Linked DNA regions of Bombyx mori. The protein of the gene in region 1 purifies or fractionates together with the protein of each later gene. This does not show direct contact. Links are inferred from orthologs where the notes say so. Each region holds a gene or a part of one and is shown in the gene's direction. Other genes may lie near its edges.

The links.
Region 2: the proteins of symplekin (region 1) and cleavage and polyadenylation specificity factor 73 purify together in Drosophila melanogaster (affinity purification with western blotting; 3 studies listed by BioGRID). This does not show direct contact. The link is inferred for Bombyx mori from reciprocal best matches to the Drosophila melanogaster genes Sym and Cpsf73.
Region 3: the proteins of symplekin (region 1) and probable cleavage and polyadenylation specificity factor subunit 2 purify together in Drosophila melanogaster (affinity purification with western blotting; 3 studies listed by BioGRID). This does not show direct contact. The link is inferred for Bombyx mori from reciprocal best matches to the Drosophila melanogaster genes Sym and Cpsf100.

Annotation. Positions count from the first base shown.
Region 1 is NC_085124.1:2,849,458-2,853,115, reverse strand, and holds part of symplekin, read left to right. Parts: intron 1-1,663; coding exon 1,664-1,770; intron 1,771-3,104; coding exon 3,105-3,210; intron 3,211-3,658. UniProt on the Drosophila melanogaster protein: Component of a protein complex required for cotranscriptional processing of 3'-ends of polyadenylated and histone pre-mRNA. Involved in germline stem cell transit amplification, differentiation and mitosis-to-meiosis transition.
Region 2 is NC_085125.1:191,039-195,340, forward strand, and holds the start of cleavage and polyadenylation specificity factor 73, read left to right. Parts: upstream 1-1,470; 5' UTR 1,471-2,550; coding exon 2,551-2,624; intron 2,625-2,847; coding exon 2,848-2,911; intron 2,912-3,187; coding exon 3,188-3,285; intron 3,286-4,302. Other genes in the region: protein KRI1 homolog, read right to left, coding at 567-681. UniProt on the Drosophila melanogaster protein: Component of the cleavage and polyadenylation specificity factor (CPSF) complex that plays a key role in pre-mRNA 3'-end formation, recognizing the AAUAAA signal sequence and interacting with poly(A) polymerase and other factors to bring about cleavage and poly(A) addition.
Region 3 is NC_085131.1:11,896,401-11,899,947, reverse strand, and holds part of probable cleavage and polyadenylation specificity factor subunit 2, read left to right. Parts: intron 1-251; coding exon 252-342; intron 343-2,254; coding exon 2,255-2,378; intron 2,379-2,806; coding exon 2,807-2,982; intron 2,983-3,547. UniProt on the Drosophila melanogaster protein: Component of the cleavage and polyadenylation specificity factor (CPSF) complex that plays a key role in pre-mRNA 3'-end formation, recognizing the AAUAAA signal sequence and interacting with poly(A) polymerase and other factors to bring about cleavage and poly(A) addition.

The DNA of each region.
Region 1 (3,658 bases):
ATAATTTCGACACTGGTTGTAGTTTTAGGGTGACCATAATAAAATGTAGTTTATAATAATCAGACTTTATTTCCGCAATCAAGTACTAATGAAGATTTCAAGTAAGACTAAATGATGTGCTTTGATTCTCTTGAAGTATTTGCCTAGTTAAAATATTTAAATAACAAAACAAAATTTAAATGACAATAATAAAACTTCTAAGGATAATATGACACTTTCAAATAAAAACAAACAGGTCATTTATGTAAAATCATATTTTGTAGTCTGAAGTATTCATCATTCTTAGAAGATATTTCCCTAAATTAGTAACTGAAGATTATTTAAAAAATAAACGTTTCTTGATTTATTTTTAAATAAAAAGTAACAATAAAAATGTATATTACTTATTTGCGCATGTCCCATTTCATGACTAAAAAACACCAAGGCATTATAATATTTAAGTTACAAAGCAGATAAATTGACATAACGATACGAATAAATCGATCGCTTTTCTCTCAATAGTAAATCTACCCTTCATTTGATACTGAATTTTGTCTCGACCACCGTGTCCGTAACTTCTATGAATCTCTAACAATACATCGTAATAATCTTCTAACGGTATTACACGAACGGTTGGACTGCCAAGGCTATTCCTTTTTAAATAAGGTAGTCCAATTCACTGATGCTCATAACCTCGTATTTTTTTGACCTGTAGGAGTCCTCCGGGAACCAGATTCTGTGGCCACCTTAGCATTTTTTAGGTGCCGGATAACCTCAAAAATTTTACTATTTGTCCAAAGCTTTTTTACAGCTTCCGTTTGAGAATTGTATAATTTTTTTAATTCACTATAATATAAAGCTTTAAAATCAGAATTATTTTCTAAAATGTCTTCTCCACACGAAATATTTGCAGTTTTCAGTTATTTTTTGAGACACAAAATGACGCCATTGTTATTGTTTTGATCAACAGTGGCGCGCGTGGTAAAAAAATGAACTAAATACTTCAATTTGCCGCGGCATTATGAAAACGGTGTTTGAATTGTCGATGTTATGTTGTGGCATATTATAAAGTGACACGGCAATATACATTTTGCCTTCGGCATTTTACATAACGGCGAGCGTTTTTATAATGACGACGCCGTTTGTAAACGGCGGAATCATACAAATTGCCTGCGACATATACACACAGCCCACTGAGTTTCTCGCCGGATCTTCTCAGTGGGTCGCGATTTCGATTCGGTGGTAGATTCAACCACTGCTCTTGCTAGGGTTATTGTTAGCAAATTCTCTCAGGTTGAACACGTGAACTCACCTACCCGTCCGCGCGAAACTAGAATAGCCACTTAGACTACCAGCTAATAGGTATGAAGGAAAATTTACTATTATATGACATTGACCATATACAGCGATCACATGTAGTGTTTAGCTTGATGTATAAAAAAGTTTTAATTACTAGACCTTGTTTCGTGATGGAAATTTTATCAGTGGGTTGTTTTGGGAAAGGTATTTGTCACTATGCCCTCAAAATCCGACAGATGACCAGCGCGAAAAGTGTTAGCATTTGTTACATTTATTACATACGTTTGGTGAAACACAAACGAGCGTCACCAAACTTTGATAGCCAATTTAATAAAAAAAAATCAGTTTATTTTATTTGTTTAATATTTATTTTTTATGTTTCCAGTGCCTCCAACAGCCGAACTAGTGTCGAAAGTACGAGACATATACGCCACCAGAGTGTCCGACGTTAGATTCTTGATCCCCGTGCTCACCGGACTGTCAAAGAGAGAGGTAAATCGTGACCATTCATTTAAAACCACTCCGGAAAAAACAATACGCTTCAGCATTTAAATTTAACGCAAAGTTAACGTAAAATTTATATAGAGATGATATAATATTACGCGCTAGGGTTCGGGATAAATAAAATTCCACCAAAGTACAACTAAAAACTGTATTCAACACTTAAAGCACTTAAAACATTCAACAAACACTTTAAAACTCTCAGTTCGCTTGTTCCGCTTCGCTTCAGGTGATCCGTTCGCTGTTTCGCTTCGAGTAGTTCCGATTATTAACTGCCTGTGTGCCATCTCTGCAACGCTTTTATAGCCGATAGATGATACCACATCCCTAGAATTTCGAGAATATTCCACACATCTCTAATAGTAGTTTCCGATGTCTGTCGATAGATGGCGTTGTACTTCTCGAGCGTTCTAAGCGCTACTAGATCCTTCGATATTCGTTCGACTATTCGGCGATAGATGGCCTTACTCTTACCGGCGTAACAATAATAACAATAACATATTAGTATTTATTTTTGAATCGTTAACTCAATGTCAAGAAGAATAATTCTTTCAGCGGCCGGACAATCGCTGAGTCGCACAAAATGAGACGCACATTGGATATCTGTGTTTTAATTTCAAATTTAACATTACAAATCGTAATCTTTGTAAATGTATGTACTATATGAGTCGTCTATTATCAAAGGTGGCAATCTGTGCATTTGGACAAAAAAATCTTATTGATATGTCCATACAGATTGATTTGAATATAATCGTCTCCTTCAAAGAATACGGTTCAAAACCTGCGTTAAATAAAGGTTAATACTTAACCTGTTATTTATCTAAGATGTCGATCAGAAGAGTTTTGTGACTGCCAATGGAATACAAAGTCAATAATTCGTTTTTCTGATTTACCAATAATTGTCCAAAAGTCACATTGCCGGCTTTGATAATAGTCGACTCATATGTAGATATTTATTGGAACAGCTTGACACCTCAATGTCCTTATATAAATGCAATTATATTGTATAAATACATAATATAACAACATATTTTAATAGAAATCCTCAATTGAGTCTTCGATATCGCCACGGCATTCACGCCATGCCTACAGGCCACTTAACACCAAATGGGCCGTTAATTCATCCGGATACGCAATAATAATAAAAATAATCTAGATTGGTATAGGAACTGATGTTCGACAACCAATGAGGTATGAGGTAAAATTCTTAGAATACGTCAAAATTAAAAACGGTCCCCTATAATAATTGCAATTACATGTTAAAAATTGATTCCTTAAATGCCAAGGTTTAATCGAAACGGTAATATGTAAATGAATTATTTCAGATCGTGGCAGCCCTACCGAAACTAATCAAGCTCAACCCTGCCGTCGTGAAGGAGGTGTTCAACAAGCTGTTGGGAATCAACGGCACGTACGACGAGCAGTCGCCCGGTAGGTGGCGCCACCGACGCGGGTCTGAGAGAGAGAGAGAAAGAGAGAGCATACTTTATTGCTCACCAAAACACTATTAACATTAGACAGTCAACAAGCAGATACGTTTGTACAATAGGCGGTCTTATCGCTAATAGCAATTCAGACATCTGTCTTCTTTTTTTGTTATTTCGTTGATTGGTGGACGTGCTCACGTCCCACCTGATGTTAAGTGGTTACTGGAGCCCATAGACATCTACGACGTAAATGCCGCCACCCACCTTGACGTATGACTTCTAAGGTCTCAGTATAGTTACAACGGCTGCTCCAGCCTTCAAACCGACACGCATTACTGCTTCACGGCAGAAACAGACAGGGTGGTGGTATCTAACCGTGCGGACTCACAAGAGGTCCTACCACCAGTAATTACGCAATTAATTTTGCTGGTTTTATTTTTGTTACCATATGT
Region 2 (4,302 bases), on another chromosome or scaffold:
TTTGCTAACTGTTGTGAGCAACACCAATAAAAGTTTTTGTCTATGCACGAAATACCATTTTGATCTATTGAAAACTCTCAAGATTTTAGGAGCCAAATCGGGTTTCCCTTCCACATGATACTGAACACCATTGGAAATATAAAAACTAGAATAACCGAAGTAGTTTATGATTTTCATTTCATTTAACACTGCAGAAATTGCAGTAAATTTAATTTAAAATAAATAGAAAAATTCATTTCGAGAGTCAAACATATCAATGAAACTCAGCTAATTAAAAATTAGAATAACACTGGGGCTTTGACATGATGAATATACAACGCTATTATTGGATTCGACGGCGTCTTGTCATGTCAAACTTAGCAGAGGCAGCTCATCTAGTGTTCACTGATGTTTATTTATCTGACAGCAGTTTGCCTGCTCACAAGTCAAATGGAGTCAAGATTTTCAATAATTTTGAATTAACCTCATTTTAATCAGTAAATAGCAATATTTTATAATATGTAATGTAATAATTTACACTTCTGGTTTTCTGAAACAACTCAGAGAACTTAAATTAGACTCCTCACATTTATGTAATTCTTCCTTCTCACGCCACGAATCGTACTTCTTTGCGTATTCATTTTCAGTTTTAAATGTGACCTCATCCGCTGAATCTTCATCAAACAACTTCTGCTTCGGCATTACAATTATTTCAATGAATGCAACCCTTATTTATTTCATTAGCTGTAAATTTATAAATTTCATTAGCACACGTGTATTTTGTCAATATTTATTATGTTGACAGTTTGACAGTATTAGTTTTCCAACTGGAAAAGCAAAGGTATCATACCATAAGCGTAATCTTTTGTTTATTATCTTTATCTATATATATATATATATACAATTGAACTGCTGTTCGTTAGTCTCACTAAAACTTCAGAACGCCTGAACTGATTTGTCTAATTTTGGTCTTTATTTGTGGAAGTCCAGAGAAGATTTAAAAGGAAGGTAGATAAATATGAAAATGCTCGGAATCAAATAAAAATAACAATTTAGTTTTCCCTTTGATGTGTCCTCCGTCGGACGCATTGATTTTTTTTGTTTTAAGTTTATTTTATACAAAAGTTTAGGTCTTTTATTTGTCGATTGAGGCACTACGAAGTCTGCCGGGTCAGTTAGTCTTTATATATATTTCTTCTGTGCGTGTGTTTGTCACTGAATTCCTCCTAAACGGCTGGACCAATTTGAATGATTTTTTTTGTATGTGTTTGGGTGGTGTCCTGGATGGTTTAGATTCACAAATCAGCCCGGCAGATGGCGCTGCAGTCGATATCTAGGTTAATTTATCTTTCTTAGAAACTTTTTTTAAGGCAAAACAATGCTTGCGGGGTTAGCTAGTAATTATTACATATCTTGTGGCGGTAGCTATCAGATAACACAAGATATTTGTCAAATGCCTGAATCTCGCTTACGACCTTTTCAAGATAAGCTTGCATATAAACAAGTTCCAAACAACAACATTCGGATTATCGGTCTACCGAGCAATATCACCCGCTCGGGGGAACATCTTCCTTTCGTCGTTATACCTACACCCTACTCGTATTTAATTATTTTAATAATCTGTGAGGGGGGCTTTGTTTTATTGGAGAAGAAAAATACTTTTTTGGCGGGAATGCGAAGAGTGAAGTTGTATGAATTGTTTAGTTTTGTCTATTTAGTGTTTCTTCAGGTTTAAATTTGTAACAACGGTGGTTTATTAACTGTTTAATATCTGTTTAACTGTTGTGAAAGTGCACAAATGTGGGAAAATGAAACAAAGCCGCTGGTCGTAGCTTCTCGGGATCCTTCAAAAAGTCTAATTTTTTTTTCCTACCTAAGCTGGTAGCCTTGAGAGGCTATTCCAGCGTAACCTTAACTAGTAGGTGAACTCACGGGGCTCAAACCTAACGACGTTGCTAACACCAACCCTAGCAAGAGCCGTGCTTCGCAGAATCTACCACCGGATCGGAAACGCGACCCACTGAGAAGATCCGGCGAGAAACTCAGTCGCCTATGTCTGTGGGTCAAAAAGTCTCAGTAAATATAACCACCATATTACTGAGATTATATTTTATCCCATATCATCTTATCTCATTTCATTTCATTTTATTTCGTGACAATTGATTAATGTTCCAAATTAATCAACTTCATTTCATTTCACTTCATATCATTTTGATTAAAAAATTATAAAAGATTAAGTTGTATGCTACGAATAAATAATAACTTATCAGTTATTCGTAGGTTGTATGATATGATTTATACCTTTGCCTATCCAGCTAGAAAAATAAAACTACTACTACTCTACTACTGGAGAAGAAAAAAAATCGGTACCGTACCATAACCTAACATGTTTCTAAATTGTAACTGACTGGATTACAGGAACTGATTCTAACTTATAAAGTAAATCTTAATGGTAGTTATTATACGTTATTTGATTAATCGTCACTTATAATATAACACCACAAAGTTTTATCTTATTGTGATTAAGCTATTGGTTAAATCCCTGTAAATGAATATTTGTAAATAAACAAAATGACTACAAATCCAAGAAAAGGCACTGATCCAGTGCCTGCGGAGGAAAGCGATCAATTGACAATAAGACCACTGTAAGTAAAATAATTAATGTGAACAAGTTTCAAAACAATACAGACTTTAAGCTTCCTTAAACACCTTCTTTATTATTACTTAATATTACACTCAAAATTAACAAAAAAAGTAATAAAAATTCAATGTTATGAACTGGCTTAGATGCTAATATTAATAAAACAATACAGTAATACTATAACATGTTTGCTTAAAAAAATTGAAGCTTAGAAAATATATTTTCAGTGGAGCTGGCCAAGAAGTTGGCAGATCATGCATCATGTTGGAGTTCAAAGGGAAAAAGATAATGGTTAGTTTATGTTTCATGTTCCTATTTCATGTTTTGCAGTATTAAAGTATGGCCCCAGAACTGTACACATTCACTTTCTCAGGTTTGACAAGATGAGGCAGTGGTGTAATATATCAATTATGTGTGTGTGTAGTGATGTGCCCTTTACAGTATTTATAGCAATATTGTAATATTCACATAGTATAGACATTCATTGTGGCTAAGTTATATAATTCAAAAGAAGTATATATTTTAAAATTTACAATATTATGGACAAAAATATTCATATTTTTTTAGTTGGACTGTGGCATCCATCCTGGTTTGTCTGGAATGGACGCCCTACCCTTCATAGACCTTATAGAGGCAGACGAAGTGGATCTTCTGTTAGTTTCACAGTAAGTATGTTTTTATAAAACCATATTGATGAACAGCAATTATCTGTCTGGTCTTAAATACAATAATCACCCATTTATTAACGGCTGTCTGGTGTAGTGGTGAGTGACATGGTCACTACACACGGGGGTCGCAGGTTCAAATCCCGCCAAGGGAAGATATTTGTAAGATAAATATAAAACGTCTTTTCCAGTGTTATGGAAGTATATTAAATATATGTATGTCTATGATAAATATCTTACATATATTTCCGTTATCTGGTACCTGTAACACAAGATTTTTACGAACTTAGCATGGGACTAGTTAACGCGGCGTGATTGTTAGTAAATATTTATTATTATTATTTATAAACACCCTCTATTGAAAGGCCTAAAGTATTCTAGGTGATGTGTATATTGGGTTGCAGTCACCTATTAAGGAGTGTGTAGAAATTAAAGTCAATTGGTAGTTAATGATTTATTGCGCGATTTATAGCACACCGAGAATGACCGGCGCTACTAACTGTACGTTACACACTGCCCTAATACAGAATATGTGGTACTATGTATAAAAATATATAAAACTCCCGGTGCATTCGTATTGAGTACTGTGCCAGTGTTTAAATTCCACAGACCATGGTACCAATTTTTCTAATGAAATATTAAACGTACTTGACAAATGTTCATAAATGACTATAGTGAAGGAATAACATTGTGTCATAGAAACCAAACACTGGTAATTACTGATGGAGGGTCATCTTGTCAGCCTGCTCAGATATATACCACCGCCCTGCAAATTTCTGCTGTGAAGCAGTAATGTGATTTGGTTTTTATGATGGGACATCCTTTAGGCTGTAAAACTAAGATTCGGAACTCATATCTCATGGTGGGTGGTGGCATGTTGCATATATGTTGCTGATGTCTAAGGGCTTTGGTAAGCACTTAGCACCATGTGGGTCCTGAACTCAACCTCTAATCTTAGCAATAGCTGTAAAAGTTCCAGATATTCAGAGTTGTAAGTGCCATTATTACAGGTAGGCT
Region 3 (3,547 bases), on another chromosome or scaffold:
GCAACATGGCGGGACTCGCCTATCAATAATAAAATTTTGCGGGTCGCTAGTATATTATATATTCCAAAAACATAAATATATATAAATTTTTTTTTGTAATAATTGTAAATTTTTTCACATTCAAAATTTTACCGCCCTGGGCACTTGCCCCGACCGCCCCTAGTGTAAATCCAGCGCGGACTGTTTCTTGACCGTAAGGCCACGGACTCTTCACTGTCCGCCCTAGAAACAATTGACTATTTTTGTTACAGAAAACATTGTGAGTCTGAAGGAATCGAAAAGGTGTTCTTACCGTCCGTTGGGGAAACCGTCGACGCCACGACAGAGTCACACATCTATCAGGTACCAACAGAACTGCCCGTTAACAACATTATTTTCTGAATATACTCGAATATAATAAATAATAGTTTAAAAATGTGTGCGTGTACTAGTGTACACACGTAAGAAGTGAAACTTGTTTATGGCCTTATTTTTCGAAAAATGATCTACATGCAACTTTCTAGAAATTGGTTAAATAAAGTTAAATTAGATAAAGTTTAAACAAAAGGATTTTATTATCATAGACATGAATACAAAAAAGTTAAATTAGATAAAGTTTAAACAAAAGGATTTTATTATCATAGACATGAATACAAAACAGATGGCGCGTAACGGAAAAAAGTGACGCGTAACCGAAAAATGTGACGGTAAATTTTTTTCCAACGCCGATAAGGAAGTTTCACTTCAAAAAAACTAAAATATTATGCTTTTATAGAAAATCCAACTAAAAAATAAAAAAATAAATTTTAATAAATTCGAATTAAAAATAGTGTGAAGGAAAAATGATTTTATTGTAAAAAAAATGTGTGCGTGTACTAGTGTACACACGTAAGAAGTGAAACTTGTTTATGGCCTTATTTTTCGAAAAATGATCTACATGCAACTTTCTAGAAATTGGTTAAATAAAGTTAAATTAGATAAAGTTTAAACAAAAGGATTTTATTATCATAGACATGAATACAAAAAAGTTAAATTAGATAAAGTTTAAACAAAAGGATTTTATTATCATAGACATGAATACAAAACAGATGGCGCGTAACGGAAAAAAGTGACGCGTAACCGAAAAATGTGACGGTAAATTTTTTTCCAACGCCGATAAGGAAGTTTCACTTCAAAAAGCGTGGGGAGCTTTTCAAAATATTATTAAAATAACCCTTCTACTCATATCTGTTCATTAAATATTTATAACTACTGATACCAAGCACATCACTCTTTTTTTTTACAAAAAAACATGTGTGGTGTCGTGGGACACCGGATAGGAACGAAGTTCCATATAAAAAAAAAAAAAAGAATTACGAGAAAAAAATCGCGCGGTGAAATATCTCTGTGCGGAAAACAAGGCCTTATTCCACGGACTTTTTCTTACGGTTTTTACTATCACATTATTTTCAGTTCGGTCGCGCAGCAAAATCCCTATCTCCCCCAAGCCTGCCGTAAGGAACTTCGTTCCAAAAATCATTTCTTCTTACACTATTTTTAATTCGAATTTATTAAAATTTATTGAAGTGAAACTTCTTTATCGGCGTTGGAAAAAAATTTACCGTCACATTTTTCGGTTACGCGTCACATTTTTCCGTTACGCGCCATCTTTTTTGTATTCATGTCTATGATAATAAAATCCTTTTGTTTAAACTTTATCTAATTTAACTTTATTTAACCAATTTCTAGAAAGTTGCATGTAGATCATTTTTGTATTCATGTCTATGATAATAAAATCCTTTTGTTTAAACTTTATCTAATTTAACTTTATTTAACCAATTTCTAGAAAGTTGCATGTAGATCATTTTTCGAAAAATAAGGCCATAAAGAAGTTTCACTTCTTACGTGTGTACACTAGTACACGCACACATTTTTTTTTTTTCTATTTTTAGTTGCATTTTCTATATAAGCGTATTTTGTTAGTTTTTTTAAACTATTATTTATTTTTCATTTTTTAGTTGAATTTCAATGTTTTCAATTTTTTTTTTAATATTGCATTGTCATCTATCCTAAGTATACCAAATTTCGCAAATTAATCCGATGTTTTGAAGGGGGTCAATATCTCATTCAAAGATTCCGTTACATACTAACATACATACGTCTTGAAACTAATAAAAGCGTATTAAAAACGTTAGTTATATTGTCTAGTTGTTGGCGACTTCTTTGATCGAGGCACGGGGTGTGGGGAATTCTCGGTGCGAATGGTTATTAAAGATGTGAATGTGTATGATCGAAGGTGAAACTGACGGACGGGCTGATGCGGGGCCTGGTGTGGCGGCAGGCCGGGGACGCCGAGCTGGCCTGGCTGTCCGCCGTCGTGGCGCCGCGCACGCACGCCCGGGAGAGCGACGCCGCCCCCGGTAACTGACACTGTCATTAGCACTAGTCTAGATGTCTTATGTTCTGTAATAGCTGCTACCTCTGTCATGCAACAACTTTGTAAGTGCGTACGCACCGAGCACGATCCGACACGTATAGTGAAAGTTAACTACTTGAAGTTTTTTATGACCTGGTAACTAAGACCTTTAGGTCAAGTCTTATGTTAATTTTAATGAAAACTTTTTATACGATAATTTAAATTTATTTTCTATTTTTTTGTTGAATTTTATATAAAGCGTGTTTTTTAGTTTTTTTTTAAACTATTATTTATTTAAAATTTACTCGGTTGCTACTGTAGCGCCACTCGTTATAAGCAGATTTTAACGGATAATTTTTACACACAGAGACGGTTCTCCTTACCTCTCAGAGGGTTCTCCATACTTAGTATAAAGTGTTGTTGTTGTCGCAGAGGAGGGCGGCGGTGCGGTGTCGCTGGAGGCGGGTGCGGGGCGGCCGCGCGCGGCTGCGTTCGTGAACACGGTGCGGCTGCACGAGCTGCGCGCCGCCCTCGCCCGCGCCGGCCTGCAGCCCGACCTCGGCGCCGGCACGCTCACCTGCTGCTCCGGGACGCTCGCCGTGCGCAGGGTACCCGCACACCCACACTACATACACGCAATACATACGCGCACAAGCATCATCAATCAACCCGCTGACGATTAGATGGCTGGACGAGCTCACAGCCCACCTGGTGTTAAGTGGTTACTGGAGTCCATAGATAAATAATAATAAAGAAAGAAAAAAAACCTTATCAAATAAAAAAATACAAAATTAAATATAAACTTGTGTCATTGGAACCCCATTCGGGTATAGGCCTCCTATAGATATCTACAACGTAAATGCGCCACTCGCCTTGAGATATATAAGTTAAGGTCTCAGTATATCTACCCGTGCGGACTCTCAAAGGTCCTACCATCAATAATAAAGCCAATTATAATTTTTGCGAGCTTAATTTTTGTTACACAATGTTATTCCTTCACCGTTAAAGACATTCGTGAACATAATAATATATTAAGTACGTATTTCATCAGCAAAATTGGTACCTGCCTGCCAGGATTCGAACACCGGCACGGTCGCATCGCTCAATACAAGTGCACCCCGCGTCTTATCCTTTAGGCCATGAAGACTTCATACATATTTATGCTACTTACAT